2 separate regions of the Mus musculus genome follow, and region 1 is reported to be linked to region 2. The links are microRNA targets in miRTarBase. Many come from high-throughput screens and were not tested one by one. Region 2 holds a microRNA gene; the other region holds the end of a gene's coding sequence.
What was found. The annotated mature microRNA mmu-miR-770-3p reads CGUGGGCCUGACGUGGAGCUGG and lies in region 2 at 2,340-2,361, opposite strand. An mRNA with a match to its seed (bases 2 to 7 or 8) in the 3' UTR can be bound and repressed. Matches are read on the target gene's strand: a 7mer-m8 pairs with bases 2 to 8, a 7mer-A1 pairs with bases 2 to 7 and ends in A, and an 8mer does both.

Region 1: miRTarBase lists Syt7 as a target of mmu-miR-770-3p. Seed matches in the 3' UTR shown: 7mer-A1 at 990-996 and 7mer-m8 at 2,979-2,985.

What each region holds. Positions count from the first base shown.
Region 1 is chr19:10,448,038-10,451,436 of GRCm38, forward strand. Syt7 (synaptotagmin VII) reads left to right here. Exons shown (of 12, transcript NM_001373944.1): 12 at 303-3,399. The coding sequence ends at 407. Among named protein-coding and RNA genes, the nearest start is that of Lrrc10b, 7.7 kb to the right of the region's middle.
Region 2 is chr12:109,562,706-109,566,104 of GRCm38, reverse strand. It overlaps Mir770 (microRNA 770), which reads right to left and starts at 2,413; the gene lies at 2,320-2,413. All of the region lies in intron 9 of Meg3 (maternally expressed 3), which reads right to left. It also overlaps a transcript of Rtl1 not described here.

The DNA.
Region 1 (3,399 bases), not on the chromosome of region 2:
TACAAAGTCAGGGGCGGGGCCAGGAAATGCAGGGAGATGGGAGAGACAATAACAATGGTGTCCCTTCCTAGGTCAGGGAAGATTGCCCCAGCCAAATGCCTGTATCCTGACCTTCACTGCAAAATAGGTAACAGTTTGATGTCAAAGGGCCAGGCATGCCCAGGCCCTTGAGGGATAGCAGTCAGGAAACTAGGTCAGGCTGGCAGGAAGGGAAAGGGGCAGCCTCTGTGGGCCAGGCTGTTACTATGGGACAGGGCCCAAGCCTCAGAGCCTGCCATTACGCATCTTCTCTTCCTCCCCAGATCTACCTGTCCTGGAAGAGCGGACCAGGTGAAGTGAAACACTGGAAGGACATGATCGCTCGTCCCCGGCAGCCTGTGGCCCAGTGGCACCAGCTGAAAGCCTGAGTGGGGCCAAGGGAGGCTCCAAGGGCCAAGGCCTGGCTCCCCATCATGCCCCTACCACTTTATGCACAATGCCCAGCCCGGCACCCCTGCCATGGTGAGGGGAGACCCCGAGGGCTCAGCCAGGGAGGGGTACCAGAACTCTACTGGGCCCCATTTCTAGGAAGTACCAGCCCCACCCCATGAGTCCAGCTCAGGGGTGGGGGCTTGGGAGCCATTCCCTGCTTTGCCTCTTTCTTTCCTGATTTGCTGATACTAAAGACGTGGGGGAGAGCTCAAGAGCCAGATGGGCAGATCCCTCCAGAGGCCCGCCAGGTGGGCATAGCCCCCGTTTTCTTTAAGGCAGTGCCTGGAGTGGAGAGAAGCCACCCCTTCCCTAGATCCCCTTTTTGGGGCCCAGAAGAGGAAGGCCGAGGCGTTTGGCCACGGCCTGGTCATCAGGCCCATCCCCAGCTTCAGGTGCCGGCTGGGCCCTGGACACTGAGGATAGTATATAGCCTGTGCTCCAGAGTCCTGGAGATGTGGCCCTGTGTATTTGTGTTGTGTCTACTGTGTGTGTGTGTGTGTGTGTGTGTGTGTGTGTGTGCCCACATGCGTGTACACATGTGCACCTGGAAGCTCATGCGCACGTGTGGGAAAGGGGGAGCTCACTCCCTATCGCCCTGGGACCAGCAGTGCTGATTGGCTATGGAAAATAGCAGAGTTTCGTGAGGATGAAGTAGGGCTGGGTCAGGTAGAGGTCAAGGCCACAGGGAAGGTAGGAGAGGAAGGGTATGGACGGCTGAGAAGAAGTGGGGACCAGGGCAAATGGCTGTTTCAGCTGCCTCCTGGCACCCACTTTGCCTGTCTCTGTAGCCCCCACCCCCACAATTCCCCAGTAGCAACTCTCTACTGCAATGTCGTCCCTTGGGCCTGGGCTCACACTTTGTAGGCACCTACTCACCGTGTGCATGGCCTTCCAACAGGGCACCACTCCCATCCTTCTCAGGCATTCCTAACCCCTCGCCCAGGGACCCCCACCTTTCCAAATCTCATTTTGCAGTCAAATTGGCATCTGCTCCACACTCTGGCTTGGATATAGCCCCCGATCCCCACCCCTTGCCCCGACACCTCCACCTTTTCTTTGCATAATCTGATCAACCCCTGGCCTTCTCCAGGCTGTCTTGACACATACCCCACCCCCACCCCTACCCCCACCCCAGAGTAGCAGCTCTTTCTGCCCCTCCCACCCACCACGCAAGCAGAGGAAGCGGGGAGCATTCCAGGAGTCTGAAGTTGCCATACCCAAAGAAGCTGTCGTCCCTTCTCCCCGCCTCTGCTGAGACTAGAACTGGCTTCCCTTTGGAAATAGCAGACTCCAGAATGATCCCTCTTAAGTCCTGTCGTCCCTCTGTGCTGTATTGAAAAGACCCAGCTGGTGAAAGAGCCTCAAAACCAATTCAGAGACTTGAGCCCAACATACCCTAATTCTACCACCAGGTGGCACCAGAACACCACATCTATGGTAGCAGTTGGGGACCATAAATACAGTTCTACCCTGACTGGCACCTTGACACCCCAAGGATGGAAGGGGCTCTGGACTGCATCTGCTTATCTAGAGCACAGTGGGAACACAGTTATGTGGGCACAGTTTCCTTCAGTGGGCTTCCCCTTAAGCTCACCCTTCTGCTCTAGGTGGGAGATCTCCTTTTGTCCATAGCAAAATGTCCTTAAATCAGATTTCACACCCTGTCCCCAGGGACCTGGAGGAATCCCTTATGTAGTAGGTGAATCATTCGTAGAGTGAATAATTCCATTGTAAAACAAATAGTTACCCATATTACTTGTAAATCTAAATGTTTGTATACTACAGCTTTTGCTTTAAATAGGACCATCCCCAACTCCCTTGCCCAGCTGGGTGTAACCCCAGGAAAGGGACCCTCCCAACTCCCTGCAGAGGCTGTGTGGGAACAGAAGAGGGTAATGTAGAAAGTCTGGAAACTCGAGAGAAATCGCTGCCATCCTTCCTTCCATCTGCCTCAGTCTCCTGAGTGCTTCCACCAAGGCATCCGAGGGGCCCGAGCAACCTGCACCAGCAGGTGTAAAGTTGGCAGCGGGTTTATGCAGAGCGTGCTCCTGCACCTCTTAGCCAGTCAGCTCAGCATCCCCCCACATAGCTGTTCTCCCCTCAGACTACTAGGAATAGTAGTGACCCAGCCTGGGTGGAGGGGTGGGGGGGCCAGCCAGACCTTGCAAACAGTGGGTGGAGAACAGAGTGGGTTTGCACAGGGTGCAGCTGGATGACACAGAGGCTGGGCATAAGATGTTAGGGCAACTGGGGGAACATGGAAATGGGGGGGAGGGACTTGAGGGTGAGGAGGGCACCAGAGCTCTGCCACCACTGTCCTAGGATCTTGGGCAAGTCACCCACACTCCCTGGGCCTCAGTTTCTCCATCTGTAAAATGATGGTAATAATACTTCACCTACCTCATGGGGGAGGTTGTGAGGCCACCATCACCTGACCTAGGGGGTCAAGGCAGGAGGGCTCTGAAGGTGCTACCCAGAGCAAAGTTGTCAGTGAGGCCTGAAAGCAAGGCCCACCTGCCAGTCCACCCTACCCCACAGAGCCTCTAGGGACCGCCAGAGCCAATCTGTCTCTTCACTGTGTCCCCACCCCCTTTATGAGCGTCATCTGACATCTTGTGGGCACCCTAGACTTAGTTGTTACATTGTTTAGGTAGCTTTTCTTGTGATCATCTTCTCTGTGTAACTGCTATACAAATTCCACCTGCCCCAGCACACCCCTCCACCTGCCCTCCAGCACCAGAGGCCAGGGAAGGGACAAAGGAAAACAGCCACAAAAGAAAAAAAAAAAAAAAAAAAGCCAAGGGGACTCCCAGCTCAGCTGGGGCCCCCAGGGGTGGGAACTGGTGGCGCTGTTTGTATTGTGTTTGAGTCCTTGAGCGCAAGTGTTTTATAAAAAATAAAACAAAAATCCACTATCACAAAAAAAGA
Region 2 (3,399 bases):
TGCTCCTAGAACTAACCTGAGGGTCACATCAGTCCTGAACTGAATTTCTCATTCATTCCCTAAATTAAGACCACACCTGCCACTGAGGTGCATGGGAAGACTAGAGCTAAGGGGATGTCTAGACAGAGCACTAAGAAGCCAGTTCCTCTAAGACATGGCCTCAGAGACTACACCCCAGAACAGGGGAGAGGCATATATGTAGTCTATCACTCAGGAGGACAAGGTGGAGGACTGCCACACCACAAGAGGTACAGAGCACAGGTCAGGGCTCACAAGCTAGAAATGCATGGTGAACCCAGACACAAGCCTAAAAGTGTTTTCTACCTGCTGGTGCAAGATATCAGCCTCCCTGTTTCCCAGGGTAAGTAAATTCTAATGCCGAGCTAGAAGTCAGCTGAGCCTCTCACATCATTCTGTAGATATCTGTGAAAGGCCATTGCCTAGTCTAAGGACACCCTCAACCAAGAGCCTGAAAGAGCCATGAGCCACTGGACTTGGACAAACAGTTCACAGAAGATAAGATACAATTTGTTAACAAACATGGGTGAAAAGTATTCAGCCTTCATTAGTAATTAGAACAAGTTTTACACACACAAAAGCATTTTTTAACAGAGAGGTGAGGAAAGTCAGCAGACACCTTAAATACTAATACATCAGCTTAAATGCTAATACATTATCAGACAAGATAAAATACTGTAGGCTTTCTTCAATCAACCAACAGCCATTCAAACATTACCCTTTCATCCAAGAAGCTCAACCAGAGAATATACCCATCCATTAATTCACTCACTCATTCATTCATTCATTCACTCATCCATTCATCTAGCCTCTCATCTGTCTGCCAATCTTTCAATCACTCCATCACTCATACCTGTCCACCCTTACACACACACACACGCACACGCACACATGCACACACGCACACACGCACACGTGCACACACGCACACACGCACACACACACACACACACACACACACATACACACACACACACACACACGCAGTCAACATTCATAGACATCCTACAAGAAATACAGAGCGCAGTTCCACAAGCTCCTTGCCCTGAGTGGGCTCACAGTCTAGCAGAAGGAAGCAAGGAGAAAAGAAAGGAACCATGGGAAGAGCTAGATGTAGGGGGCGCTAGGGATGCTGGGAAAGCTGGTTGTGCAAAGCCATTAGTTATGGTGTCATCGGTAATGTAAAATAAAAAAAAAAAACAGGACAGGAGATGATCATGCATCAGCAACAGTAAGATGGGTAGATCATTATGTCATAGCCATTCAATGGAACTCAAGCAGGTGAGAGAGACCATGGAGCAACGAAAACGTGGACAGCAAGATGCTCATTGCAACAGACACAAAACACCAACAGAAAAGTAAGCACCACCAATGGAGCTTTAAAAAAAAAAAAAAGGATGCTCATTAAATGGAAAAAAATTTAAAAAAAAAAACGGTGTTCATAAGAATTTGGAAGGCAGAAAGGAAGATGGAGCACGGGGAAGCAGAGTTGAGGGTGTGTTTCTTCCCCCTGCTCTGAGTTACACATCTTTACATTAACAACTTCACCTCAGAAAACACCAGGGCCTTTGGCCTACCTGCCCCAAAGGTGGGCTCAAATAGCGGGGGGAGCCGAGGAGAGCTGTAGGTCCCAGTATTATCAGAGAAAGGATGTTGTGGTTTGCATATGAGTGTCAATCAAAAGACAAAATTTGCCTTCTTTTATGATGTTGAAAGGAAAAGCAAATATGTCTAAGACAGCCCTGAGCAGGCAGAAGGGCTGGGACACCAACTTGGGAGCACATGCAGACCGCCCTCCCCACACGAATCCTAGGGAATCCTACCACAGACTCTCAGAACCCCAGAACTAGAGACATTTGTTATTCAAGATCAGATTAAGAGTCAAAGACTCAAAACAACTAGATCCCAAGGTGACATGGCAAAGTCACCTACCCAAGCCCTTGTTCCTTCCAAGGTCCCACTGACCCACAGTAACCCATGGTACCCCTTCCAATCTTCTGGCATGAATGTTGAGACAAGGCCCACCTAGAGACCCATCCCCATGCTGCCCCATGTCACTGACTTCACAGCTGTAGCCCACATGTAGTCCCAGCATTCTTCTCCGCATCCAACCCCACCTTGTCACCTTGGCTGACTCTCTAAACAGCTGGAAATGAACCCCATGCAAAGGCTGTTTTCTTCTGAGCATCTCCACCCGCCCCCTCATCTCACTCCGTCACTCAGACTTGTGTGGACAATCTTCCGGAGCCAGGTCAGCAGTTGTCCCAAGGATGATAAACGCCCCAGATTCTGAAACAGGAGGCCATCAGACCCCTGCGGCCCCAGCTCCACGTCAGGCCCACGTGGCGTTGCTCACGTGGCCCAGACACGTGGTGCTGGGGGCACAGAAGGTGGCTTCTGACAAGGTTAGGCTGTGTCTTCCACGATCGGAGGCGGCTGGCGTACACTAAAAACCTTGAAGCTAGAAGCGTAGGGAGCGCCCATCTTCCATCTTCAGTCATCTCAAAACGCTTCTTCCAGGGGCCCCTCCTCCTTGCTGGTGTCTCAGACCCTCAGCAACTCAGGTAGCAGCAGCCCCACCCTCCCCAACCTTCCATACCTTCTCTCTACTTAGCCTGCACTCAGCTCTCAAAGCCCCCTTGCGGTATAGCCCATCTGTCCACTCTGTTCTTGGGTCTGCACATGCTCCCTTGATCCAGCCAAGCTATTATCCTCCTGTTGGGCACTTGACATGAATCTGGTTTGGATTGGTTTGGTTTGGAATTTAGCACCCCCAATAGGAATTGAGAAATCAAGGAGGGCTGTGACTTTTTTTTTTTTTTTAATGGTCAAACACAAGCATACAACACACAACTCTACAAAATCTTATCCACAACAGAGAAAGAAAACTGGGCAAAAGCAAAGAGTCCCAGGGGGTGGGGGACACTAGAATAAACAACTCTCCAGGTCTCCCCCAGCAGCCCACAGAGGCCAATAAGAAGACAGATTCAATACACAGTACAAACTCCCATTTTACTGGTTACATACACAGGTTTAAACATTCTGGAAGATGGGCCTTGAAACGGGCTCCAGGGGTGGCATATCTGGGACCTAGGATCATGTGTGGGAGCCTAGGCAGGGGTCCACTCTCTGAGCTGAAGGGTAGGCTTGATCTCAGAGATACTTGCTTCACCCGGGCCTCTTGGGCCTCTAGGCTTCCAGGTCAAGCTCACTTTGTCTGCACCCTGGTGTAAGTCACACTCAAGATGGTAGCCAGCAGGCAGCAGACAAAGCCTCCTATCCCTGCCCTTTGGCTGGCTAAGCCCCTTCCCATCAGGATCAGAAGAGATCCTTTCCCAGAGAGGAGACAAGGTACCCACTGGGCATAGCGCCCCCTATTCA